4 linked regions of the Stegostoma tigrinum genome follow. The main gene of each other region encodes a partner of the protein of the gene in region 3 in a complex. Links are inferred from orthologs where the notes say so. Each region holds a gene or a part of one and is shown on either strand. Other genes may lie near its edges. The genes, in order: ttf2, A-kinase anchor protein 17A-like, c29h9orf78 and ppp1r8a.

Region 1 (7,138 bases), on a different chromosome or scaffold from region 3:
GCAATCCAGAAGACAAGGACTATGAAGAAGTATGAAAGACAACTGTTTTTGCACCGCAACCTCTGCCAGCAAGCTCACAGGTGATGTTCACTCATGACTTGGTTTTTTGGCAGTCTTTTGAATGTAGCGAGAGTAATTTAGAAGTGGCTGAGTCACTCTGGTATAGTTGGTCATGCTGCACATGTTCACAGTTAGTAACATTTAAGATGTTTTGTGTAATTGGAGTCCTTGGAAGCTAGATTGATGGGATTAGTCTGGGTATCAGCAGATCAGTTTTCAGTGCATTTCGGGTAGTCTTGGGCTGGAAGGCAGTATCATTTGAGGTTTGAGTTCAGGTACTCTTTTTGATTAAGTATAGAGAAGATTGTGCATTAAATAGGCCTAAATGCCTTGAACCTGTCAATTTGTCAAGGCCTGTAAACAGAGACTGGTGAGGGCAGAGCAATGGACGTTGTTTACATGGACTTTTAGTAAAGCTTTCAACAAGGTTCTGCATGGTGGACTAATTAGTAAAGTTAGATCATGTGGGATTCAAGGTGAATTTGTCAGTTGCATACATAATTGGCTGGAAACAGAAGGGCAGTGGAGGGTTACTTTTCAGCCTGCAGGCCTGTCACCAGCGGTATTCTGCAGGGATTGTTTCTGGGGCCTCTCTTGTTTGTCAATTATATAAATGATTTGGATCAGAATATAGAAGGCATGGTTAGTAAATTTGCAGACAAGGCCAAAGTTAGTGGCATAGTAGACAGTTTTTAAGAAGGTTTTCTGAGATGGAAAAGGGATCTTGACCAAATAGATCAATGGGCTGAAAAATGGCAGATCGCATTCAATCTGGATAAATGTGAGGTATTGCATTTTGGTACAACAAAAAAACAGAAGGACTTAGACACCTAATGGTAGGGCCTTAAGTAGTGTCATAGAACAGAGAGACCATGGGGTTCAGGTGCATAATTCTTTGAAGTTTGCGTCACAATAGACAGGGTGGTTAAAAAGACATTTGGCGTGCTTGCCTTCATAGCACAGTCCTTTGAGTATAGGAGTTTGGAGGTCATGTTGAGGTTGTCCAGGACATTGGTGAGGCCTCTTCTGGAATACTGTATCCAGTTCTGGTTGCCCATTTATAGGAAGAATATTTTTAAGCTGGAGAGGGTTCAGTAGAGATTTATCAGGGTTTTACCAGGTGTGGAAGATTGAATTTAGAAAGAGAGAATGGAGAATGAGACTTTTTCCACTGGAGCCTAGAAGGTTGAGAGGCAACCTTATAAAAGTTTCCAGAATATTGAGGGATATAGAGAGTTAGTAGTTGTTGTCTTTTTGCTAAGATGGGGAATTTCAAGACTATGGGGCACCTTAAGTTGGGAGTAGAGAGATTTTTTAAAAAGACATGAGGGGCATTTTTTTTTTTGAGGATGGTTTACACGTGGAATGAACCTCCTGAGGAAGTGGTGGATTGCTGTGTTTAAAAGACTTTTGGATAAATACATGAATTAGAAAGGTATGGAGGGATACGGGTCAGGAGCAGGCAGGTGAGACTAGTTTAGTTTGGTGTTCACTAATGTCCTTTAGGGAAGGAAACTGCCATCCTTACTGGGTCTGGCCTACATGTGACTCCAGACCCACAGCAATGTGGTTGACTCTGAACTGCCCTCTGGGCAATTAGGGATGAGTAATAAATGCTATCTAGCTGACAACATCCTCATCTCGTTAATGCATGAACAAAAAAAGATTGTTTGGCATGGACTAGTTAGATCGAAGGGCCTGTTTCCATGCTGCATGACTCTATAACTAAAAATACCTTGCAATATTTATTTGGGAAGGGCTGTACTTTTCTCAATAGAGTAAAAACTGCAATATGAAAATTTAAATAATAGAACATTTCTTATGTGCGCAGGTACTTCTGGTTTTAGGAAGAAATAGTAATCACAGGCTAGGCCAGCATTTCTTGCCTGTTGGAGAAGCTAGCAGTAATCTTCCTTATGGGACTGCTACAGTCCTAGGGGCATGAGGATCCCCACAATGCTGGTAAGAAGGAAGTTCCAGGATTTTGCCCGAATGACGGTGAAGGGGCAGTCATATAGTTCCAAGTCAGGGTGGTGAATGGCTTGGAGGCAAAGTTACAGGTGATGTGTCCCTTCAGCTGCTGCTCTTGTCCTTCTGGATGTTCAAGATTATGGGCTTGGAAGTTGCTGTCTAAGGAGCCTCAGTGAATTGTTGCAGTGCATATTTTAGATGGTACACACTGCTGTCAAAGTGCGTCTGTGTTGTAAGGAATGAATTTTGAAGTTGCTGGTTAGGCTAGCTGTCAAGTAAGCTGCATTTTCTAACTCAATGAAATGGCATGATAGGTGAACAGGAAAAGGGTGGTGAGTGGAAGTATTTGATATCAAGTTATAAAGAGCCATGAGGGATGGCCAGAGGACCGCAAGTTATATGAGTTGGCATGAGTGGGGCATTGGGAGTATATGTGGATGAGGGGAACTGAGGGGTGAATGCTGGAAGAATGTTTCTTATTTTCTTCCCTTTCGGAGAGGTAAGGTTCCCCTTCGGATATGGTTCCGGCACACCTTTTGTGAGGGTAACGGTGCTCTCTGGGACTGTTTGAAAGGCATATGTGTAGATAAAAAGTTTAACTCATTAGAGCTTGCAATGTTGTCAAGAAACTGTCCAAAAGGGATAAAAATAAAATGAGTGTTTGAGAGTGCTTGTTTACCTAAGACCATTATAGGATTTGTGTCAAGTGACTGATTTCCCAAACTATCATTTTCACAGTTGGGTGCTTATTGATTGAAAGTTTACTTCCTTCTCAATGAAAATGTTTGTTGATACAAACTTTTAAGAACTTAAAAGTTTTTTTTCGTTTGTTGACACCAAAGTATCAGACCATTAATGTTTGTTTATATAAGTCATGTAACACTTCAGTAAATTGCTTACTTTCAAAGGGATTTGTTGAAGTATGGTAGATTTGTTGAGCTAGATTCATTCAGACCCTTGGCATCCCAGTCTGGCCAGAACTGGGCATCCTCTTAGGCTTCTCTCAGGTCACCTGTCCTGACTTGCGATCCAAGCTGCCTCCAAAACTCGGACTGAAAATTCTGAAATGTGAGCAGCCGTTCTTAAGTGGTGGTTTCATGGAGCCCGATTCTTTTCCTCTGCCCCAGGATAGAAAATCAAGGCTTTAGTAATCAATTTAGTTAATCAAGTCTCGGCAAAACCCTCTGTTAATGTGTATATCTTGCAGAGATTCTATTTGTTCATGCCTGTAGCAGCTATTGCTTCAAAACAAGTAATTATAGTCTGATGTCAGAAACACATGATAAAGTGGTTTAATTCAGTGGGAATTCTAGCTTTTCATGTTCCCTAGCGGTTTGATTCTGTGTTATCATCTCACTGTCAGGAATACAGATATTGCTCGTTTACAGCTGTAAGCATGCTGGCAGAGTCTGTCTTTTTTGAAAAAAAGTGAAATAGTTGATCAGCTTCAAAACAAAAAGTCCACTTGGAAAGGAAAAACTGGTAATTGCATTATCAAAAAATTACATTGTCATAACATCATGCACAGAGCATTATGTTGGTAAATGTTTGCTGTCATGGCAACAAGTAAATTATTTCCATCTTCGACAGCTATACTCACCATATTTGATGGTGAAATTTGGTGATCAAGTCTCTGGTTGCTTGGTGATAAGGTTACACATTGTACACCTGGCTTAGAAGTGTCCACATGTGGATGGTATGCCTACAGTGAAAGCCACACTACCACTTGAAACTTCATGGAACAAACCAAACATATTTGAAAACAAATATTCAGTTGCCTAGACAACTTCTAGGGCCAGGGAGCTTGCCAGTTCTTATGGAACATTGCTCCAACTTCATGAACTCATGGATACTGCATCCTTCATTACCTTACTCTCTCAATCTCTTAGCCCCTATCCCTCCTTCAGAGATGGAAGAGAAAGAGGGTCTCGGTAGGGTGAGTGCAAAAATGAAAAGGAAGGAAGGGAGCACCTGGAACCTCTTTGCTCCAGATGAGGTATCCTTGAATAGTTAATCATACTTCAGTTCTCAGAAAATCTCATTTATTGCAAAATTTCTCAACTATCACAGTTCTGGGCGCCCTATTATAGGAAAGATGTGGATGCTTTGGAGAGGGTTCAGAGGAGGTTTACCAGGATGCTGCCTGGACTGGAGGGCTTATCTTATGAAGAGAGGTTGACTGAGCTCGGTCTCTTTTCATTGGAGAAAAGGAGGAGGAGAGGGGACCTAATTGAGGTATACAAGATAATGAGAGGCATAGATAGAGTTGATAGCCAGAGACTATTTCCCAGGGCAGAAATGGCTAGCACGAGGGGTCATAGTTTTAAGCTGGTTGGTGGAAAGTATAGAGGGGATGTCAGAGGCAGGTTCTTTACGCAGAGAGTTGTGAGAGCATGGAATGCGTTGCCAGCAGCAGTTGTGGAAGCAAGGTCATTGGGGTCATTTAAGAGACTGCTGGACATGTATATGGTCACAGAAATTTGAGGGTGCATACATGAGGATCAATGGTCGGCGCAACATTGTGGGCTGAAGGGCCTGTTCTGTGCTGTACTGTTCTATGTTCTATCAGTCTGTCTCTGAAGGATCATTGCCACATTTTTTGACCAACATTCAAAAATAAAAGCACACAGAAAATTCTTTAAACTTTATCAAATAGCTCTCTTCAATGATATATTTTGACAATTCAAAGGCAATTGTGGATGAACAATACATCATGGTCTTGCCAATTGCCTACATCCTGCAAAAGAATAAAGAAAATAAACATGCTTCTCTTTTAAGATTTGCAAGTTAGCTGTGTATTGTGCTAACCATGTGTAATTCTGGAATTACTGCTGAGTGTGCAAACTATCAGTGGCACGTTTTGTGCTCAGCTACTTACTGCAATTGTTGAATGAACCAGGGTAGCACAAAATTTACATGGTGCCTGCCACAACTTAATCAAGCACAGGGTAATCACATGTCATGATCCATGTAGCTGCTAGCAGTCTTAATTGAATTATTAGCCCTAGATAACCTAATCTGGTTGGAGTCAAACCTAGCACAAGGGAAGATATTTGGGGTTGTTGGAAATCAACCGTTTCAGCCTCAGGCCATCAGTACATGAGTTCCTCAGGGCAAGTATTCTGAATCAACCTGTTTGGATATGTTGTGAGAGTTTTGACTTAAACCCAGACATTCTTGCCTAGAGGCAGGAACTCTACCACTGTGAGTTCCTCAGGGTAGTGTCCTGGATTCAGTCATTTTCAGCAGCTTCATAAGTGACCTTCTCCCTGTCATAAAGTAAAAAGTGGGGATGTTCACTGATGAATTTTCGATGTTCAGCACCATTGATTAATTCCTCAGATACCGAAGCAGTCCATGTCCATATGCAACGACACCTGGACAAGAACTAGGCTTGAGTTGATAAATAGCAAGTACATTCACACCACCTGTACCAGGCAATGACCATTTCTCAAATAATTGAATCATCATCTTGATATACAATTGCATTATCATCACTGAAAGTCACACTATCAACATCATGGGGGTCACCATTGACTAGAAACTGAACTACAGTAATTATATAAATACCGAGCTGGTACTGAGCTACAAGAGCAGGTTAGACCATAGGAATTCTATGTGAATTACAGATTTCCTGTCTTCCTGATGGGTAACTGCCATCAACATTGCACGTGTTTATTCGGCATTCGCCTGGATGTGTGCAACTTGAATATCACTCAGGAAGCTTAATGCCATCCAGAACAAAGTAAACTACTTGATCTACCACCTTGCATGTTCAGTCTTTGCATCTCAGATGCACAGTGGCAGATGTGTATATCATGTACAAGATGCTTGACATAACGTCACCGAAGCTCCTCCAGTAGCACCTTTCACATTCGTTGACTGCCCCATCTAGACAATAAACGTGTTAGATTCCTGGGAACCTCACTACTAACATGTTCTGATTTAGAAATATATCACCGTAGTTTAGCTGGAATTGGGTTAAAATCCTGGAACTGCCTCTCACGACACTCTTGGTGTCCCTATGTCCCAAGAACTACACTATCACCTTCATGGCAGTGGCAGATACTGGTTATGGTAATAACTGCTGGTCTGAGCAGTGACATCCAAACCCATGAGCGAATAAAAAATAACATACTGATATGCTCAGGCCAGATTTACACCAACTCCACTTTGATTATTGATTCTTTCTTATAATTGATTTACTGAAATACGTCAAATTCTATGTAATAATTTGAGGACATATTTAGATTAGATTCCCTACAGTGTGGAAACAGGCCCTTTTGCCCAACAAGTACACACCACCCTTCAGAGCATCCCACCCAAACCCTTCCCCCTATAACCCACACACCCCTGAACACTACGGGCAATTTAGCATGGCCAATCCACCTAACCTGCACATCTTTGGACTGTGGGAGGAAACTGGAGGAAACCCGCGCAGACACGGGGAGAATGTGCAAACTCTACACAGTCACCCAAGTCTGGAATCGAGCCTGGGTCCCTGGTGCTGTGAGGCTGCAGTGCTAACCACTGAGCTACCATGCCGCCCTAATTTTTTTATTCAACATCACCCAATTGCTTGATGTTGAATAAAAAAAATTTACGTATGCAGTTTTTTCAAAATCTTCACTTGTAAAAATGCAGCATTCAGAAATTTGTCATTTGACAAGATACGTGATCAGTAGATGCCTAAAACTTATTCAATATTGTAAAAAAAATGCTTACACTTACAGATGTGCATAATGTATAAGGTAGTAAGTAGCTGAAAGGACTAATTGACATAACAAGATAAATTCCTCAGACTAGGACAAAGGACCATTCTTTGGAGGAGCTAACCAGCGTAATACTTACTGGTTGTTGTTCCAGTGTTAAATTTTGTGCAGCTAAACAGTAAGGTGTGTTTACTCTTAATTCTCACCTGAGTTCCGGCAACGGACTATCATAATTAATACAGAAAGTGCTAGAGAAACCGAGCAGGTCTGGCAGCATTTATGGAACTGCAAACAGGGTTAACATTTGGAGTCTACAAAATGTGAGGCTGGATGAACACAGCAGGCCAAGCAGCATCTCAGGAGCACAAAAGCTGACGTTTCGGGCCTAGACCCTT
Region 2 (6,931 bases), on a different chromosome or scaffold from region 3:
GAACTGCATTCATGTCAATTAGCAAGACATTCTGACCTTAAAGAGATGAGCAAAGTTAAATGGATCTTTTCTATTTTCTAACAGAAAAATACAATGGTAAATTTTGGTTTAATACTCTCAACATTACAAGTTTGCCTCAGAGGCAATACTGTGGATCACACACGACAGATCCTTAAAAATACTTAACATTGTCATTTAGCAATACATTAGTGGATGCTCTTGAGCTTTGCCTCTGGTGTGAGTACTCAGAAACTTTCCTGTTAATGTACTTGGGAGATTGGAGCCATGGGTGAGGGTTGACAACTTTTTGAAGTTCCACCTAAAATAGCAGATTTCTGCAGCTGCAGGTGGAACTGCATCAGATGTTGGTGGCATCCAAATAAAAATGGTACATTATCAACAATTTAGCACATGTAGATTAATAAAGGTATGAATAACTTCAGCATCGTATTTGAACCATGGAATCATACAGCATAGAAGGGCAAAACTTGGCTCTTTGAAAAAGCCAATTAATTGAACTCCCTTGCTCTTTGCTCATATCAGTTCAATTTTTCTTGATTTCAAGCACACATCCAATGCCAACTCCTTGTTCAAAGCTACTATTAAATATCCTTTCATTACTGACAGGCAGTGTCTTGCAGATGATCACCACACACCATGTAAAGAACTCATCTTTTTTTGCCAACTGTCACTTACAAACATACATAATCAGTACCTCTTCTGGTTCTCAACCTTCCTATGGTTCCCTATATCTAAATCAATCAAAATTCCTCAATTTTGAAACCCTCTACTGAACCTCCACTTATACTTCTGGGCATTAAAGAGAGCAACACAAGCTTCTTCATTCCTTCTGCATAATTTAAAGACCTCATCCCCAATATTGCTCCAGTAAATTTTCTCAGATCATTCTCTAATGGATCTGACATCCTTCCATAAAACCTGAGGACCAGAACAATTTTTAAATATTCTTTCACAGGGCTTCGCTGGCTGAACGATCATTTATTACCCACACCGAATTGGCCAAAAAGGTAGTCGTGAATTGCCACACACCATACAATCCATGTTTAATATGTACATCCACAGAGGTTTGTCGAACAGACACAAGACAAGCTGAGGCCAATGGTTTGTAAAGGTTTAGTATTAATCCCTTACTCCCAAATCCTTTCATCAAGTCAAGGGAAGTCAGCTGGCATTTTAAGTATCAGAGATAATGGGAACTGCAGATGCTGGAGATTCCAAGATAATAAAATGTGAGGCTGGATGAACACAGCAGGCCAAGCAGCATCTCAGGAGCACAAAAGCTGACGTTTCGGGCCTAGACCCTCTCTGATGAAGGGTCTAGGCCCGAAACGTCAGCTTTTGTGCTCCTGAGATGCTGCTTGGCCTGCTGTGTTCATCCAGCCTCACATTTTATTATCTTGGCATTTTAAGTAGCCTTCTCAACTTTTTCAAAGTTAATTTTGTTCTTGAGATATTGACACAGCAGGTTAGCCCAGAATTTATTGCCCATCTCCACTTTAACAGAGGTGGTGGTTAGATACTTTCTTGAACTTGCCTCCAGTCCATGCAATATAGAGACCTCTAAGAAATATTTTCTTATATTTCATACAGGGAATGTAGATTCTGCTGACCAAGTCAATATTATTTTCCAATCCATAATTATCATAGTGAAAATGGTGGTGAGCTGAACTTCTTGAACCGCTGCAGTCCATTTGCTTTAGGTAGATCCACAATGTTGCCAGAGACTTTTAACAAATTGACACCTGAGAAACAGTGATATACTTCCAAGTCAGATTGATGTGTATTTGAAAAGAACATATGCTATCACATTCAACTAATTTTCCAATGCCTTTCAATTCAGAAGAGAGTCATCATACTAGACTTGAAACATCTACTCTGTTTCTCTTTCCACAACTGCTGCCTGGCTTGCATTGCTAGCCTTTGCAGTAGTTTGCTTTTACCTCCAAGTCTGTGTGTATATATCCCACTCCTTGCCCCATATCTCTCTACTCCTGCACCTCCTAGAAAACTGCATCATTTGGTTTCTATTAACCAATCTCTATCATATTGTAAAACAAGTAACTGTGGATGCCAGAGATCTGAAACAAAACCATATTTTTCCATCCAAACTCAGCAGGTCTGGCAGCATCTCTCTGCCTTCTTCTCTCCTCGTGCTGCCAGACCTCCCAAGCTTCTCCAACAATTTCTGTTTGTTGTCTCAATAAACCCACAGCCATCTGGAAAGACAATGACAGCAGATACATGGGAACACCACCACCTGAAAATTCCCCTTCAAAATCACTCACCATCCAGACCAGAAATGTTCCTTTTGTGTCACTGAGTCAAAATCCTGGAATTCCCTCCCGAAAGGTATTTAAGTCGACTTTCAAGCATATGGATGCATTGGTTCAAGAAGGCAGCTTACCACCACCACAAATCAAAGTCAACCAGGGACGGGCAATGAAGAGTTTTTAAAAAAAAAACAAAACTGCAGATGCCAGAAATCAGAAACAAAACAAAAAGCAGGAATTGCTGGAGAAACTCAACAGGTCTGGCAGCATCTGTGGAGAGAGAAAGCTGAGTTATAACATTTCGGGTCCTTCCTCAGAACTTAAGACAGGCAACAGTAATTGCTGGGCCCAGCCAGCAACGTCCCTCGAGTGAATAATTTAAAAATAAACTCTTATACAAAACACAAACATGACGTGATCAAAGCCTGCGACTCGGACAGAAATGTCCTAGTGAATTAAGACAACGCTGCGGCGGCTCCGAGATATGGAGGCAGGGGTTCGTGGCCTTGAGGGCAGCTGGTTTTCAGCGACCTACCTTTTCGTGAAGCTGCAGCGCGGGGGCGGGGGGAACGTTAGGCCGAGGGCCGGCAAACTGCTAGAGGCCTCCGGCCAGCAGCAACAACCACCTCCAGCACCACAGCGACCCAGCTCATAAAGGACCGTTGTGACCGACCAGCCAACCCGCCTGATGATTCCACCCGGCAGGGCCATCACCACGCCTCAAACCTATTTCGCGGAGATCTTCCTCTCGCGTGTTGCTGAAGGAAGGCGCTTCCCAGAGAGCGCAGTTTTCGCCCAACCGGCGTCTCACCTCACGCGGAGTTTTTGTCAGGCAACTAATAGACGGCTTAAGGGACTTTTCATCGGGGCGGGAGGCCGGGCGCACAAGTCTTCACGATTGACTGCCCACTGCCGCCATCTTTGTGAGGGGCAACGATGGTGCCGAAAGTACACGAGGGTGACCGATTATATCCGAGTGCTGACACCACGGGAATGAGAACATGTTGCCGTGATAATGGGAACTGCAGATGCTGGAGAATCCAAGATAATAAAGTGTGGAGCTGGATGAACACAGCAGGCCCAGCAGCATCTCAGGAGCACAAAAGCTGATGTTTCGGGCCTAGACCCTTCATCATACCCCGTAACTCACATGCTCCACTTGCTGCACTTTCTAATGACAGAGCTAGTTGCAGAGACTGTTTAAAGTCCAGTTGTGCTTCAGGAATAGGTGCTTTTGCACAGATATGTCATCAATCCCACATATCAAATGATCTCTCACATCTCACTAAGGATTAAATCAAGGTCACATGCCTCTGCCAAGCCCAGCAGCATCTCAGGAGCACAAAAGCTGACGTTTCGAGCCTAGACCCTTCATCAGAGAGGGGGATGGGGAGAGGGTTCTGGAATAAATAGGGAGAGAGGTGGAGGCGGACCGAAGATGGATAGAGGAGAGTATAGGTGGGGAGGTAGGAAGGGGATAGGTCAGTCCAGGGAAGGCGGACAGGTCAAGGAGGTGGGATGAGGTAGTAGGTAGGAAATGGAGGTGCGGCTTGGGGTGGGAGGAAGGGATGGGTGAGAGGAAGAACAGGTTAGGGAGGCAGAGACAGGTTGGACTGGTTTTGGGATGCAGTGGGTGGAGGGGAAGAGCTGGGCTGGTTGTGTGGTGCAGTGGGGGGAGGGGACGAACTGGGCTGGGTTTGGGATGCAGTGGGGGAAGGGGAGATTTTGAGGCTGGTGAAGTCCACATTGATACCATTGGGCTGCAGGGTTCCCAAGCGGAATATGAGTTGCTGTTCCTGCAACCTTCGGGTGGCATCATTGCGGCACTGCAGGAGGCCCATGATGGGCATGTCATCTAAAGAATGGGAGGGCGAGTGGAAATGGTTTGCGACTGGGAGGTGCAGTTGTTTATTGCGAACCGAGCGGAGGTGTTCTGCAAAGCGGTCCCCAAGCCTCCGTTTGGTTTCCCCAATGTAGAGGAAGCCACACCGAGTACAATGGATGCAGTACACCACATTGGCAGATGTGCAGGTGAACCTCTGCTTAATACGGAAAGTCATCTTGGGGCCTGGGATAGGGGTGAGGGAGGAGGTGTGGGGGCAAGTGTAGCATTTCCTGCGGTTACAGGGGAGGTGCCGGGTGTGGTGGGGTTGGAGGGCAGTGTGGAGCGAACAAGGGAGTCACGGAGAGAGTGGTCTCTCTGGAAAGCAGACAAGGATGGGGATGGAAAATTGTCTTGGGTGGTGGGGTCGGATTGTAGATGGCAGAAGTGTTGGAGGACACCAACACCTTCCACCCCAACCTTCAGTTCACCTGAGCCAACTACAGCACATCCCTCACCTTCCTGGACCACTCAGTCTCCATCTCAGGCAACCAGCTTGTAACTGATGTCCATTTCAAGCCCAACGACTCCCACAGCTACCTAGAATACACCTCCTCCCACCCACCCTCCTGCAAAAATTCCATCCCCTATTCCCAATTCCTCCGCCTCCGCCGCATCTGCTCCCACGATGAGGCATTCCACTCCCGCACATCCCAGATGTCTTCAAGGACCACAACTTTCCCCCCACAGTGGTCGAGAACGCCCTTGACAGCGTCTCCTGCATTTCCCACAACACATCCCTCACACCCCGCCCCCACCACAACCGCCCAAAGAGGATCCCCCTCGTTCTCACACACCACCCCACCAACCTCCGGATACAATGCATCATCCTCCGACACCTCCGCTATCTACAATCCGACCCCAACACCCAAGACATTTTTCCATCCCCACCCTTGTCTGCTTTCTGGAGAGATCACTCTCTCCGTGACTCCCTTGTTCGCTCCACACTGCCCTCCAACCCCACCACACCTGGCACCTTCCCCTGCAACCACAGGAAATGCTACACTTGCCCTCACACCTCCTCCCTCACCCCTATCCCAGGCCCCAAGATGACTATCCATATTAAGCAGAGGTTCACCTGCACATCTGCCAATGTGGTATACTGCATCCATTGTACTCTGTGTGGCTACCTCTACATTGGGGAAACCAAGCGGAGGCTTGGGGACCGCTTTGCAGAACACCTCCGCTCGGTTTGCAATAAACAACTGCACCTCCCAGTCGCAAACCATTTCCACTACCCCTCCCATTCTTTAGATGACATGCCCATCATGGGCCTCCTGCAGTGCCACAATGATGCCGCCCGAAGGTTCCAGGAACAGCAACTCATATTCCGCTTGGGAACCCCGCAGCCCAATGGTATCAATGTGGACTTTACCAGCTTCAAAATCTCCCCTTCCCCCACTGCATCCCAAACCCAGCCCAGTTCGTCCCCTCCTCCCACTGCACCACACAACCAGCCCAGCTCTTCCCCTCCACCCACTGCATCCCAAAACTAGTCCAACCTGTCTCTGCTTCCCTAACCTGTTCTTCCTCTCACCCCAAGCCGCACCTCCATCTCCTACCTACTAACCTCATCCCACTCCTTGACCTGTCCGTCTTCCCTGGACTGACCTATCCCCTCCCTACCTCCCCACTTTTACTCTCCTCTCCACCTATCTTCTTTTCTCTCCATTTTCGGTCCGTCTCCCCCCCTCTCCCTATTTATTCCAGAATCCTCACCCCATCCCCCTCTCTGATGAAGGGTCTAGGCCCAAAACGTCAGCTTTTGTGCTCCTGAGATGCTGCTGGGCCTGCTGTGTTCATCCAGCCTCACATTTTATTATCTTGGATTCTCCAGCATCTGCAGTTCCCATTATCACATGCCTTTGCCAGTTGTCTTAACCTGGTCAAAACTCCCACGGCGGGTTCCCTTGGTTCTTGAATTGCCGAATAAAACTGGCAGCATCTTAGAATTAATACAGACGAGGGGTTATAATATTCCTTTACTAAATCCGCCAACTCTTGAAAGGTTTTACTATCTAGTGCCTTAAGAAACATTGGTCTCCTAATAACCAGTAAATCTCCGGTTCCACAAGCTGTCGTGAGAATTACTTATTGGTTTTCATCTGCCCAAATGTCAACTGCCCAGAAAAAATAATGCATTCTTTCCAGATATTGGACCCAGTCTGCGAAGGCAGGATCGAATGAATCAAGCATCTCAAACATTTGCACGGTGGTAAAAATGCTTATCCCACTCAAAGACGACTGCTGTAAGTGAATTTCTTCAGGAGCATATTTTATCTCTCGTCGTCACTGAAATAACTGCACAAAAGCTCGTAAACTTTCATCAGATCATAATTTATACACACATATATATTACTTGACGCTGATCCAGCTACCTCAGAGCCAGCTTTCTGAGTGAACAGTACGTCTGACACTCCTGTTTCTACCTTCCAGCTGGGACTCCCTGATTGGACCAGATTAAAAGCCCCAATCAGGTTAGACCTCAGAGAAAGGATTGCAGCAATTTCAGAGGTATACAGGTTCATTTTTACTACTCTGCTCATTTTATCTACTGTAACTACTGTAATTATGATTGAACTGAACTGTAATAAAATTAAAATAAAATTGTACCGAGCTGCATTGTGATTTTTTGGAACTTCTCTGCTGTTTTTTAGGAATTAAAACCTGTTGGCCACATGTTCTCAATAACAAAGTGTGAAGCTGGATGAACACAGCAGGTCAAGCAGCATCTCAGCAGCACAAAAGCTGACGTTTC
Region 3 (7,063 bases):
GACGACCTCCAACGCCATAGGCCGCCGCTGAGCCTTCTGGGAGATGTAGTTCGTACCGATGCGCCTCCCGCTTTCCCGGATGACGTTCGGTTGCTGTGGCGTCATTTGGGACACACCCCCGAGCGGTCGGATAGTGCGCATGTGCTATGTGGCCACGCCCTGGAATGTCCAGGACTCATGGGCCAGGCCATTCAGCCCAAAAAGTTTATGCTAGCAAAACAATCAGCTTCTTACTTTAATTAAAACAAAAGTCTGTTTTGAAGATAATAAAATGTGAGGGTGGATGAACACAGCAGGCCCAGCAGCATCTCAGGAGCACAAAAGCTGACGTTTCGGGCCTAGACCCTTCATCAGAGAGGGGGATGGGGTGAGGGTTCTGGAATAAATAGGGAGAGGCGGACTGAAGATGGAGAGAAAAGAAGATAGGTGGGGAGGTAGGGCGGGGATAGGTCAGTCCAGGTAAGACGGACAGGTGAAGGAGGTGGGATGAGGTTAGTAGGTAGGAGATGGAGGTGCGGCTTGGGGTGGGTCTGTTTTGAAGAAGGGTTTCAGAGATAGTAGGAACTGCAGATGCTGGAGAATCTGAGGTAACAAGGTGTAGAGCTGGATGAGCACAGCAGGCCAAGCAGCATCAAAGGAGCAGGAAAGCTGATGTTTTGGGCCTAGACCCTTCAGAAGGGTTATCTCTGAAGAAGGGTAACAGGTCTTGAGAGCTAGCTCTGCTTTCTCTCTACAGATGCTGCTAGACCTGCCAATTTTCTCAAGAACTCTCCGTTTTTCATTATTTTCCACCTTTATTCTTTCTTAGCAGGTGAATGTCACTGGCACACATCAGGCATTCTGAAACACGCATTTATTACCCATTCCCAATTGTGCTCTGTCTAAATGGCTTGCAAAGCCATTTTCAGAAATTTCCACAAGATTTGGAATGTGATTCCACAAAAACCAGTTCAGGCCAAACATTACATGATTTCAAGAAGCTATTGGACATAGGACTTGGGGGAGAAAGGATTGAAGGGTATGGGGAAAAAGTGAAAACGGATTATTGAGTTAGATGATCAGCCATGATTATAATGATTGGCAGAGTAGCCCTAAGGTATCAAAAGACCTGCCCCTGCAGCTATTTTCTATTTTTATATGTAACATAGATCCTTAACAATAAAAAGGATTTATGGTGGCAAATCGACAAAATGCAACTCAAATGGTATCAGTGCACATTGCCATAATACATATCAGTTTCTAGTGCTCAGTCTTACTTCCCGTTTTGCTTCTGAATATTTCTTTCAAATGCAGAAAATAGGGTACTGCCATTTAAAACAGCCTTTGCGATCCATCTGCACGTGTCCACTTGCACTCATGACGTACCATTGGTGAAACCATGCAGCAGTGTCAAGTCTATGTGCATGTCCAAAAAAATTTTAAACAATTGCAAACCACATCTAATCTTTGTTGTTCTGTTGTATGTTAAGGCAATCATTGATAAAAAGCTGAAGAGGCTTCTGCCATAAAATTGAAAGGAAAGTGCTTAGATTGGGTACATGTAAAACCAAGAGACAGCTCTTAAGGGAGATCAGAGTTGGGTAAATGGAAGCAAAGTGCAATGGTTCTCTTCAAACGGAGAGGATCCGTACATTATAAAATTGCAATTTCCAGTATGCTGACAATTATCCAGCCTGTCCTCCCAAATGTAATTTCTTTAGGTCTTACTTATAAAACAGGCATGTTGTTGGATGAGAGTTAAAACCAAGACTCCAAATTTAGTGCTCCACCTACTGGTGGCATAGGCCACAATTGTAGCCCTATAATATCTACGGTTAACATCTACACTGCTCCAAACCAAAACACCAGTTTAGACCTGTGACTCTTCTTCACAACCCGACTCCTCACTTTGTCCTTTGTTCTGTGGTACGTTGCTCCGATCCAGGGCCAAGAGACAGGAATCACAAAACCTGGTGCTGCTCCTGGGAACGTGGCTCCCAACCTGATCACAAAAAGTCCCACCTCCTGACCCAAGCACGGTTGGCCTCTTAAAGAGATAATGGGAACTGCAAATGCTGGAGAATTCCAAGATAATAGAATGTGAGGCTGGATGAACACAGCAGGCCAAGCAGCATCTCAGGAGCACAAAAGCTGACGTTTCGGGCCTAGACCCTTCATCAGACAGTCTGATGAAGGGTCTAGGCCCGAAACGTCAGCTTTTGTGCTCCTGAGATGCTGCTTGGCCTGCTGTGTTCATCCAGCCTCACATTTTATTATCTTGGCCTCTTAAAGCACCAGTCTCCGTTATTGGGCTCTGGTGTACACCCTTGTTCCAAGATGCCCTGACTTTCCCTTATGTTCCATTCCCTCTTTTTCTACACTACCAAAATCATCACTTTTCCAACAACTTGCAGTTCCAAAGAAACTCAAAACATTAACTGTGTTTATTCCTTTCCACAGATGCTGCCGGGCCTGCTGGGTTTCTCCAGCATGTTCTTATTTTATTCTGTCTTCTCAATATTTTTCAGTGGGACGAGGATGAAAGAAAAGGTCTGTGATAGAGTTGCAACAGGGAGAAATTGAATGACAGAAAATTTAATCCTGAGGGCTAAAGTGAAAGCGCTGAAAACCTATAAGGATCTGGATAACTATTTTTCCTAATTCTAATAAAAAGTCCAAGATCTCAAATCATTGGGGGGAATGTGGGCGGGCGTTGAATCTTGACAGAGTGGATGTGGAAAAGATGTTTCTTCTTGTGGGAGAATCTAGAACTAGAGGTCAGTCATTGAAAAAAAGAAAGAAATTTACATTTTTTTATTGTCACATGTACTCAAGTACAGGAGTACAGTGAAAAGTGTCAAATGTCACCAAGTTACCTTGGTATCTAGGTACAAAGTGATAGAGAGAAACAAAGTTAAAAGTTCAACATTACAGACCACCTCGAGAAAAATAAAGAGATAAGGTAATAGTTAACATTGAAGTTCTTCTTAATATTAAGTAGAAAAATAAAGAAATATTTAAAATTTCAACTGTCTTTCTTGAGCGCTTAGCCATGCTGGGGCCCCAATCTCCTCCACTTAGTTCGTTCTCTGGTGACCCTAGCAGCGTTTCCTCACCGCCGCTGACACAGATACTGGGGGACATCCCTCACCGCTCATTCCTCCCATGTTCTCATAGATGGTCCCATCTTCCTCAAAAGGCAGTATAAGCAGAGTCCTTGATTATCTTTAAAGCAGAGGGAGCTAAATTCTTGATAAGCAAGTAGGTGAGAGATTATCAGTGGTATGCAAGCATGTAATCAGAACACCACGATCCTACTGAATGGCAGAACAGGCTTGAGAGGTCGAGCATAATAATCCTGCTCCCATTATTTTATATATAGAAAATATTAATTAAGTATCTCTCTCTCTACACAAATACTTCAATAAACTGATGAGTTCAGATTGTGGTTGATCTTTTTACAACATGAAAGGTTAAGGAGATATACGCTGGGGACAAAAGACCACAAGAAATAGGAGATAGTAAGAACTGCCGATGCTGGAGTCAGAGATTAGACAGTGTTGAGCTGGAGGTACACAGCAAGCCAGGAAACATCAGAGAGGCAGGAACATTGACATTTCAGGTCAGGACCCTTCTTCAGAAAAATACATCAACTTTCTCGCTCCTCTGATGCTGCCTGACCTGCTGTGTTCCTCCAGCTCCACATTTTTTTTTTGTAAAAAGAAATAAGAGCAAGGATATTGCATTTGACAAAAACAGAAATTGCTGAAGAAACTCAACAGGCCCGCGGAGATAAGTAGGTGTAGACCTGGAGTAAACTTTGGATCCTGTGAGCCGCCTTCGCAACGGTCCTGAAACATCAACATCCTCTTTCTTTCCACAGAAACTGCTGACTTTCTCGAGAATCCAGTGTTTTGCTTCTTCGGGTGAGTTATTGAAGAAGGCGTGAGTATCCCTGCGGGGCGTGAGTATCTGTACTGCACAGACTGTGAGAATGGCAACATTGCGGGACTGGGTCACATGATGCCGTGCCCGCTGCACTGTGGGAAATGGAGTCCGGGAGTCGCCGGAACCTGTCCGTTGAACCGGAAGTTCCTCGGTCCGACCTCCGTTGTCAGTCTGCCGCGAAAGTCGGTGTGGTTTAGTGAGTAACGGGGTTTTGAAAAGAAACTGTGTTTGAGCTAAAAGAAGGTTGCACTGGGCCCCGGAATGCCGGCGGGGAAGAGCTACCGCAGGAGGAGAGAGGAAGAGTCGGATGAGGAGGATGAGCAGAGGGTGGTGGAGGTCAGGTGAGAGCCGAGGCTTCAGTGGTCCAGCTAGGCCTCTTGCCCTCAGCCCCAAAGAATAGCCCAGCCGGCGAGGTTCTTCAATCCATTTCTGAACTGTTAACTGCTTTAAGGGTTCAAGCTTCTGGAGAGGACAGTCTTTGTCTTTACGTGGCGCTATTTGTACTGCAGGAAACGCAGCATCAAGATTGTGCCCAGCAAACTCCCACACGAATGTGACGATAACAAACTATGTTGATTGAAGGATAAATATCGACCCAGAACCCGGGGAATAGTCAACAGATCTGGCAGCATCTATGGAGAGAGAGAGAGAGAGAACTGGAGTAACATTTTAAGTCTGATATCAGAGCCATATTTGACTTGAAACGTCAGCTCGTTTTATCTAACCACGGATGCTGTCTGACCTGCTCAGTATACCCAGAACGTTTCCAATATGTGTTCCAGACATGTTCAGTCTGCCAGTTAGTCACTGTTTATCTGCTGAATTTCGGATAGTTTTGCATTTGAGATAGAGCATCAGCCGGAGGATTGTGCTGACTGGCAGAGTGAGTTTGATGAGCTGAATATTCCACACCACCCATTTTTCTATGCTTTGATTTTCAGTTTTTATCTTCAATTTCCAGCACTTGCTTTGCTCTTACAATGGAGGAGCTTCCTTGCTCTTCAAAATAGCGGCCATTGGATATTAGTCCAGTCCAAAAATGTACAGGTTAGGTGGATTGGTGAAGTTCCTTGTGGAGTCCACGGTTGTGCAGGCTAGTTGGGTTAGCCATGGTAAATGTGGGATTATGGGGATAAAGTAGGAGTTGCTGTTTAGAGGGTTGGTGCAGATCTGATGACCTCTGCTTGCACTGCGGGGATTCTATCATTTGACATCTACCCAAGCAGGCACATGGTGTTTCTTGTCTCAACAGAGAAACAACACGTCCAACAGTCAGGCCGTCCCTTAGTATAACATTCAAGCTCCACCCTATGCTCTGGACCATAGCTGACTGCTGAAGTCTAAAACATCCTCTGAGTGAATGCATACAGTTTGGTGGCTGCCTCATGTTCAATACATAATTCAGTCTTCGTCCTCAAAAAATGCCTTTAACTCTGTGAAGATTGAAAATAGCCACAGTTGCCGAGGCTTTCGTCAAAACAGATTAATTCAGAGCCAGAAGTTGATTAATAGGGCCCCTCCAGCCTGCTGTGCCATTTGATAAGATTGCGTCCTCTACTCCACTTTCCTTTGTAGCTAATACTGTCTTATTAATCAAGAATCTTCTATTTCTGGCTTAAAAAATATTCAATGACCCAGCCTCCACTGCTCTCTGGCGAAAAGAACTCCACAGACTAACTAGTCTCTGAGTGAAAACAAATGTCGTCTCAAAAGTAGGAGAGCCTTTGTTTTTTAAACAAGTTTTCATCTTTTCTCTAAGGGCAATATCCTCTCCACATCCGTCCTGTCAAGCACTTACCCCTCCCCACCCCTGTGCAAACACAGTAAACGCACCACAATCTTGTATATTTCAATAAGATCACTTCTCAGCCTTCTGAATTCCAGTGTCAATGCTGCGAACTGTGTTGTTGATTTATGGTCATTCACAATCATGTCAATGTTTGTGAGACCACAGGCATCCACTTTATTCTCCCGGGATGGTTGTTAAAATAGTAAAGCAATGATTCAGATATTTTTGAGTCAACCTGTTTGTTACACAGTGCTAGAGCAGTTTGGACTTGAACCTGGGATCAGAGTTGCAAAAGCCCTGAAAAGCATTCATTTCTTCGTGGGTATTTTTAATCAACCTTTTGGAGATGTTATGACATGCCTCAGGTGTAGGTGAGATTTGAATCTAGGTTTTCTGGCTCAGATGCGTGGACACTTCCACTGCACCAAAAGAGCTCTTTAAGTTCTTTGTGGACTTCCCTGATTTTTTAAAAATCAGCCTGTTTAGCAATGTTAATACACACCTCTGGAGCTGGTGAGACTTGAACCTTGGCCTCCACAGTCCAGAAGTAGGGGCACTACCACTGCCAGAAGAGTCCTTTCATTTGTTTGTGGATTTTCCTGACTTATTTTTTCCAATCAACCTGGTCAGCAATGTTGTTACACACCACTGGAACAGGTGGGATTAAACCCTGTCCTCTTAGTCTAGGAGTAGGGACACTAGCTGCACCCAAGAGGCCCTGAGGGCTCCCTTGAAGCAGTTGTCCTTGTTTGCTTATCAGTGGTTGTTAGTTCGTTATGACTGAGTGGTCAAAAGACTCTTTCAGGGACGCAATTGACGGTTAAGTACATCACTATGAAACTAGCGTTTCTGGCTTGCCATGGGATGACAGCAGAATTCCTCCGTTAACACAGCATTAGTGAACTGAATTCAAAGTCTCAAAATGTGTCAGAGTCTCAACCAATATGAAAGCTTGCTCCAAGTTACAGTATCCTCTTAAAAGAGTTGGGAAGTAGGGACGGATGCATTGGTTTATTAGATGATCGTCATTTAGGTCTGGGTAATGGAGCACGGCATCATTTTTTGCTGAGCAAATGTTGGTTGTTTAGAATTATAGTTGCAGTGTCCTCTAGTGGTTACACTAATGTTATGAAAGATTTTGGTTTTTGCTTGCAGCCCAAATGCAGTGGAGTCAAATTTACAAGTGATACTAGCCTTCTTAAGTCAGTAACTGTGATCAGGCGGTTATCTCCACTGATGTATAATAAATTGCTTACAACATAAAAACATCCAAGAGCTTTTGTGCCAGAAGACCTGGATTCAAGTCCCATCTCTGCTGCAGAGGTGTGTCATAACACATCTGAACAG
Region 4 (7,455 bases), on a different chromosome or scaffold from region 3:
GATATGTTTCCATTAAGACTGGTTCTGCCCCTAAATTTTCTACACTATAGTATGGTGAGCGCGAGAAAATTCCATGTGATGTACATATGAACTAAGGAAAAAACGCTTGAAATGCAGAGAAACGCAGAGAGATGAACATAGATTCAATCTTTACTAACCTAGTAGCTACAGGAAAAAGTACTTTGAGCCTATAACTGGGATGAAGTAGTGGTGACTTGACAAGTGATTTGAAAGGTGATCATTTATGACACAGGAGTGATATCAAACCGTTCTGAATTTTTCTACCAGCTCTAGGGACGAAGCATTCAAATAAATCTGACTAGTCTTGGGTACAACCATTTTTTAAAAATTCATTCATGGACTAGATTGGCATTAACTCTTAACTGCCTCTGGGCAATCAATCACATCACTGGATCTGGAGAAACGTGTAGGCCAGACCAGGTAAGGATAGCAGTTTCCTTCCCTGAGGGACAGTAGGGAATAAGATAGGTTTTTCCAAAGGGTTCACGGCACGGAAACGAGAGTGGGGAGTGGGGCAGGAGGGTGGAAGGAGGAGCATGGGGGAGCGGGGGAAGAAGAGATGGGGTATGGGGGGAGTGGGGAGAGAGGAAGAGATGGGGGAGCAGGGAGAAGAGATGGGGGAGCCGGGGGGAAGAGAAGAGATGGGGGCGGAGGGTGGTGGGAATGGGGGGTGGAGATGGAGAAGTGGGGGCGGGGGGGGGGTGATGGTAGAGATGGCGCAGCCGGTGGGGGGGGGGGGGGGGGAGAGGGGGAGGATGGAGATGGTGGAGCAGGGGTGGGTGGAGACGGTGGAGGGGGGGGGTGGAGACGGTGGAGGGGGGGGGTGGAGACGGTGGAGGGGGGGGGTGGAGACGGTGGAGGGGGGGGGTGGAGACGGTGGAGGGGGGGGGTGGAGACGGTGGAGGGGGGGGGTGGAGACGGTGGAGGGGGGGGGTGGAGACGGTGGAGGGGGGGGGTGGAGACGGTGGAGGGGGGGGGTGGAGACGGTGGAGGGGGGGGGTGGAGACGGTGGAGGGGGGGGGTGGAGACGGTGGAGGGGGGGGGTGGAGACGGTGGAGGGGGGGGGTGGAGACGGTGGAGGGGGGGGGTGGAGACGGTGGAGGGGGGGGTGGAGACGGTGGAGGGGGGGGGTGGAGACGGTGGAGGGGGGGGGTGGAGACGGTGGAGGGGGGGGGTGGAGACGGTGGAGGGGGGGGGTGGAGACGGTGGAGGGGGGGGGTGGAGACGGTGGAGGGGGGGGTGGAGACGGTGGAGGGGGGGGGTGGAGACGGTGGAGGGGGGGGTGGAGACGGTGGAGGGGGGGGGTGGAGACGGTGGAGGGGGGGGGTGGAGACGGTGGGGGGGGGGGTGGAGACGGTGGAGGGGGGGGGTGGAGACGGTGGAGGGGGGGGGGTGGAGACGGTGGAGGGGGGGGGTGGAGACGGTGGGGGGGGGGGTGGAGACGGTGGAGGGGGGGGGTGGAGACGGTGGAGGGGGGGGGTGGAGACGGTGGAGGGGGGGGGTGGAGACGGTGGAGGGGGGGGGTGGAGACGGTGGAGGGGGGGGGTGGAGACGGTGGAGGGGGGGGGTGGAGACGGTGGAGGGGGGGGGTGGAGACGGTGGAGGGGGGGGTGGAGACGGTGGAGGGGGGGGGTGGAGACGGTGGAGGGGGGGGGTGGAGACGGTGGAGGGGGGGGTGGAGACGGTGGAGGGGGGGGTGGAGACGGTGGAGGGGGGGGTGGAGACGGTGGAGGGGGGGGTGGAGACGGTGGAGGGGGGGGTGGAGACGGTGGAGGGGGGGGTGGAGACGGGGGGGGTGGAGACGGTGGAGGGGGGGGTGGAGACGGTGGAGGGGGGGGTGGAGACGGTGGAGGGGGGGGTGGAGACGGTGGAGGGGGGGGTGGAGACGGTGGAGGGGGGGGTGGAGACGGTGGAGGGGGGGTGGAGACGGTGGAGGGGGGGGTGGAGACGGTGGAGGGGGGGGTGGAGACGGTGGAGGGGGGGGTGGAGACGGTGGAGGGGGGGGTGGAGACGGTGGAGGGGGGGGTGGAGACGGTGGAGGGGGGGTGGAGACGGTGGAGGGGGGGTGGAGACGGTGGAGGGGGGGTGGAGACGGTGGAGGGGGGGTGGAGACGGTGGAGGGGGGGTGGAGACGGTGGAGGGGGGGGTGGAGACGGTGGAGGGGGGGGTGGAGACGGTGGAGGGGGGGGTGGAGACGGTGGAGGGGGGGTGGAGACGGTGGAGGGGGGGTGGAGACGGTGGAGAGGGGGGGGTGGAGACGGTGGAGAGGGGGGGGTGGAGACGGTGGAGAGGGGGGGGTGGAGACGGTGGAGGGGGGGGTGGAGACGGTGGAGGGGGGGGTGGAGACGGTGGAGAGGGGGGGGTGGAGACGGTGGAGAGGGGGGGGTGGAGACGGTGGAGAGGGGGGGGTGGAGACGGTGGAGAGGGGGGGGTGGAGACGGTGGAGAGGGGGGGGTGGAGACGGTGGAGAGGGGGGGGTGGAGACGGTGGAGAGGGGGGGGTGGAGACGGTGGAGGGGGGGGGGTGGAGACGGTGGAGAGGGGGGGGGGTGGAGACGGTGGGGATGGAGATGGTGGAGCCGGGGTGGTTTGGGGGGAGGATAGGGATAGTCGGAGATGGGGGCGGAAATGAAACGGGTGGGAGGAAGAGAGAGGGAGGGGAGAGAGGGGGGGACACGGGGGTTGAAGTGGGAGGGAGGAGTCGGGTGGGGTGGGAGGAGTGGTCCCGCCGCTGCAGCGCAACTACACACCGCGGCCTAGTGAGTCAGGCTGCAGCCTCCGACACAAAGCGCAGCCACGGGGGAAGCTGCCTATCTGCAATCGAAAGGTTGCGAGGTGCCTTCCACGTCCCCGGTAGATCGGGGCAGCATGGCTATACACACTCACCATGTCGGACAGTCAAAGACGGGCTTGAGCTGAATCGGCTGCATTTGAATCACATCGAGACAAGGCTGCACCGGATTCTGGGTAACAGGGAGTGGGCGGGGCTTCCCAAAGCCCCCTGCGCATGCTAACAAGCCCACCGCATGTACCCTGGGAAATGTAGTCCACCAGCAGTCGCCACAAGACCCGTCGGGTTCTGAACTACAAATCCCACTTGCCTTTGCGAACAGAATTTGAGAGGGGGAAAACAAGGTCAAATGAACCACGGGGCGCTGTTTACAGGTATCAGACAGAATGTTGGAGCTAGACGCTTCATCAGAGAGGGTTCTGGAATAAATAGGGAGAGGCGGACCGAAGATGGAGAGGACAGTATAAGTGAGGAGGTAGGATATGGAGGTGTGAAGAAAGGAGGGATGGGTGAGAAGAAGAACAGGTTAGGGAGGCAGAGACAGGCCGAGCTGGTGTTGGGATGCAGCGGGGGGGAAGGGGATGAGCTGGGCTGGTTGTGTGGTGCATTTGGGGGGATGGGACGTGCCCAGCTCATCCCCCCCCCCCGCTGCACCACACAACCAGCCCAGCTCGGCCCCGCCTCCCTAACCTGTTCTTTCTCTCACCCATCCCTTCCTCCCACCCCAAGCCGCACCTCCATCTCCTACCTACTAACCTCATCCCACCTCCTTGACCTGTCCGTCTTCCCTGGACTGACCTATCCCCTCCCTACCTCCCCACCTATACTCTCTCCACCTATCTTCTTTTCTCTCCATCTTCGGTCCGCCTCCCCCTCCCTCCCTATTTATTCCAGAACCCTCTCGCTATCCCCCTCTCTGATGAAGGGTCTAGGCCCAAAACATCAGCTTTTGTGCTCCTGAGATGCTGCTTGGCCTGCTGTGTTCATCCAGCTCCACACTTTATTATCTTGGATTCTCCAGCATCTGCAGTTCCCATTATCTCAGAATGTTGGAGCTGTTGGACTTATATTGACTATATTGGTAATTCATTCTTCTATGGAATTTAAAAGAAAGAGGAAATCCTATTGAGGTGAATAAGATAATAGAGAGGATTGATAAATCAGGTGTGGAGAGGATGTTCCCCTCCGTTTTTTTGGGAGCAATCTAGAATGAGAGATTTAGGCTGAAGGGTATCAAATTGAGAAATTACCTCTCTCAAAGGGTTCAGACTCTTCTAATTCACTACCGGAGATCATGGTGGAAGCCAAGAAATTGAGTAAATTTAAGGGGGAAGATAAACAGATTTTTAACTAATTACAAAGTAAAGGGTTTTGGGGAGCAGGCAGGAAAGGGGAGTTGAGGCTGAAATATAAGATCAGTCTTGATCATATTAAATAGCAGAGCAGGCTCAGGTGGCTGAGTTGGGTACTCTGACAGACCTTCTGTTCACAAGCTACCATGTTCCCCTTTCTGAATAGTCCTTTTGTTGCTAATTTGTTAATACATCGCATGGAATGCAATGGCTCAAGAGATGGGCATTATCCCAGGAAAGCCTTGAAATTGGACAGGAGGTCACAATTTCAGGCACACGGGAATGTGAGAGAATATATGATGAACTGCAGTAGTGTTTAGTCTGTGTTACTTTTAGTTTGTATACAGTGTGAAAGTCTTAAAACTTTAAATCTTGTATGATTCTTTCAGGCATTCACTCTCAAAATAAAGTTTTCAGTCTTTCTTAGGCTCTCAACGAGATGGACTCAATGGACTTCATGAAAATAAAAACAATTTAGAAAGTAATATAAGTCACTACAAACCTGCCTGGCCATAGGATGGCTCACATTAGCGAGAGATGACTGGTGATGGCTTAACCTGAGGGTCACCACATCTTAGGGGAGGGAAGAGGCTAAGAAGGTGATTCTTTCAAGGTAACCTCAGCTGGTGAAGGAATTAAAACCACTCTGTTGGTATCATTCTGCAAGGCAAACCAGCTGTCCAGCCAACTAAGCTAATTTACCAAAGGTGAGGCAGAAGATAGGCATATCTGCAAAACTCCTAGTAGCTTGTTTAGAAAAAAGCATTACCCACAGATGGATTTCTCTGCATTCATTCCAATGGTGTTAATTCCCATTTGTGACATTTCTATTTTCCTTATGACTTTGCCAACTAAGACTGCCAATTAGTGCCAATTTATAAGCATGCTGACAGCTATGCAGTCAGCACCTGCTTACAATTGGGTGAAACTGACAAGACATATTGCAATTCAAGTACTTACAGTTGGCCAAGAAAGAGAATATCTGACAGGGTAGGACTGGGTTCAAACACGATCCTGAGTTGAATTGCCAATGTTCTGCACCAGTCCCTTGCTGTAAATGTTTTCCTTAACAAAATAAATTTAACTTTGGCAGGAATTGAAACAGATAAGTAAACTTAATCTTAAGGGAATGGAAACAAGAAGTCTGAAATAAGATACGTTTTTCTCTGGTGAGACATGAAAGGTGTGACTCATTAGACACACTTCTATTTTGTCACTAAAGTTAGTGAGCAGTGGAAATTAAAGAAACGAGGTTATGTATTTAAAATTGAGAATTTGAAGAAAATGTGCTGAATGGGATCCCAAAAGTCATATTAGATTCCCTACAGTGTGGAAACAGGCCCTTTTGGCCCAACAAGTCCATACTGCCCCTTGAAGCATTCCACCCAGACCCATCCCCATCCCCCTATAACCCACAAAGCCCTGAACACTATGGGCAATTTAGCTTGGCCACTCCACTTAACCTACACATCTTTGGACTGTGGGAGGAAACCCACACAGACAGTTGCCTGAGGCGGGAATTGAACCCGGGTCCCTGGCACTGTGACGCTGCAGTGCTAGCCACTGAGCCACTGTGCAATCCCTGTAATTCAGCATTCATTCAGATTTAGTTAGTTTATGGATGTATTGGAATGACATGTTTGGCTTCAGTGATCCTGGGCTGGAAGGGAATAAAATGACACTAGAATTCTTATCCCGATTCTTAAACAAGGGCTTAAAAATCATAGAATAACAAAACATAGAAGGGGGCTATTCGGCCCTATTTGGCTATGTGGCTCTTTAATACAATCATCCAAATAACATCACACTCCTGTCCCTGTAATCATTTTCATTGAAATATTTACCCCCTTCTCTTTTGAAAGTTTTGTTGAATCTGTTTCCCACCATCCTTTCCAGCCATACTTTCCAGATCACAATATCTCACTGAGTCAACATCATGATTTTGACATTTCCGTCAAATCTAAATCTCCCTGAACGTACATATTTGGACATTGGAGTAAGATAACACTGCACTTAGCAGTGATACCTTGTGTAGTCATATAGGCTGCAGATGCACATGGAAACTTGGGCAAAAGCCTGAAGAATTGAAAGAGCAACGGTCTTTTCAGGAGGCTGGGGAGACTCTACAGAAAGCCATGGCACAGAAGGATTTGGGAATCCTGTAGCATGAATTATGAAAAAAACCCCTAGCATCCAAGTTCAGCGGGTAATAGGGAAAGCAAACAGATTGTTGACCTTTATTTAGAGGGAATGGAGTATAAAAATAGGGAACAAACACAGAGTACGTGGGAGAAAATCAGCAGGTCTTGCAGCGCCTGTGGACAGAGAAACAGAGTAAATGTTTCAAGTCAGTATCATTCTTCGAAGAGTTAACATTAATGTTTCTTTCTCCTTAAATGCTGCCAGACCTGCTGAGCTTCTGCAGTATGCTCTGTGGTTGATTCAGATTTCCAATACCTGCAGTATTTTGCTGTTTGAAAAATGGGGAGCTGTTGCTGAAACAATATAAGGCACCAGTCAGAACACAGCTGGAATACTGTGAAGCAATTTTGATTCCCTTACCTAAGGAGATTTCCTCCTGATTGGATGCAGTCCACAGCAGGTTCACTGAATCAATCCTGGGTATGGAGCAGGTTTCTCATGAGGAGAAATTGAGTAGGTTGGGCTTACACTTGTTGGAATTCAGAAGGATGGGAGAACTTATTGAAATGCAAGATTCTTGTGGAATTTGACAGAGTAAATGTAGACAGATTGTTTCCCCTTGTGGATGAATCGAGGACTAGAGGGCTTATCTAGGCCCGAAACGTCAGCTTTTGTGCTCCTGAGATGCTGCTTGGCCTGCTGTGTTCATCTAGCTCCACACTTGGATTCTCCAGCATCTGCAGTTCCCATTATCTCTGATATAATCAGTAAGGGATTGACCATTGAGACAGATAAGGAAGAAGTTTTTGCTCTGAGGGCAATGAATTCTTCAGTGGAATTCTTTACAGTAGAGACAGCTGTTGAATCTTAAATATGTAGAAGGCGTGAAGAATTTAATAAATATGGATCTATTTTTTGAATTTACAATTAGCTAGCTCTGTGTTGATTTGGTAAAGGATAAAGGATATACATAACCCAGGAAGGTCAGTCACATCTTGCTTAAGAGGCTTCTCTATGTCATCAAAGCAAATGGTATTAGTTCTAACACTGAGCTGGATTATAAACTGGCTAGAAGCCTTGAGGCCAGAAGTAATTGTAAATGGATTCAAATCTGTTTGGAGACGCCTGTGCTAAAGGGATCAGTCTTTGG

The links.
Region 1: c29h9orf78 (region 3) and ttf2 share a complex: the UniProt entries of both Homo sapiens proteins name them as parts of the spliceosome. The link is inferred for Stegostoma tigrinum from reciprocal best matches to the Homo sapiens genes C9orf78 and TTF2.
Region 2: c29h9orf78 (region 3) and A-kinase anchor protein 17A-like share a complex: the UniProt entries of both Homo sapiens proteins name them as parts of the spliceosome. The link is inferred for Stegostoma tigrinum from reciprocal best matches to the Homo sapiens genes C9orf78 and AKAP17A.
Region 4: c29h9orf78 (region 3) and ppp1r8a share a complex: the UniProt entries of both Homo sapiens proteins name them as parts of the spliceosome. The link is inferred for Stegostoma tigrinum from reciprocal best matches to the Homo sapiens genes C9orf78 and PPP1R8.

Annotation. Positions count from the first base shown.
Region 1 is NC_081365.1:39,213,617-39,220,754, forward strand, and holds the start of ttf2 (transcription termination factor 2), read right to left. Parts: upstream 3,006-7,138; 5' UTR 2,981-3,005; coding exon 2,932-2,980; intron 81-2,931; exon of another isoform or gene 1-80. UniProt on the Homo sapiens protein: DsDNA-dependent ATPase which acts as a transcription termination factor by coupling ATP hydrolysis with removal of RNA polymerase II from the DNA template. May contribute to mitotic transcription repression. May also be involved in pre-mRNA splicing.
Region 2 is NC_081359.1:100,885,734-100,892,664, reverse strand, and holds the start of A-kinase anchor protein 17A-like, read right to left. Parts: upstream 3,023-6,931; 5' UTR 2,827-3,022; intron 1-2,826. UniProt on the Homo sapiens protein: Splice factor regulating alternative splice site selection for certain mRNA precursors. Mediates regulation of pre-mRNA splicing in a PKA-dependent manner.
Region 3 is NC_081382.1:39,298,349-39,305,411, forward strand, and holds the start of c29h9orf78 (splicing factor C9orf78 homolog), read left to right. Parts: upstream 1-4,051; 5' UTR 4,052-4,188; coding exon 4,189-4,268; intron 4,269-7,063. UniProt on the Homo sapiens protein: Plays a role in pre-mRNA splicing by promoting usage of the upstream 3'-splice site at alternative NAGNAG splice sites; these are sites featuring alternative acceptor motifs separated by only a few nucleotides. May also modulate exon inclusion events.
Region 4 is NC_081377.1:38,910,821-38,918,275, forward strand, and holds the start of ppp1r8a (protein phosphatase 1, regulatory subunit 8a), read right to left. Parts: upstream 3,017-7,455; 5' UTR 2,951-3,016; coding exon 2,907-2,950; intron 1-2,906. UniProt on the Homo sapiens protein: Inhibitor subunit of the major nuclear protein phosphatase-1 (PP-1). It has RNA-binding activity but does not cleave RNA and may target PP-1 to RNA-associated substrates. May also be involved in pre-mRNA splicing.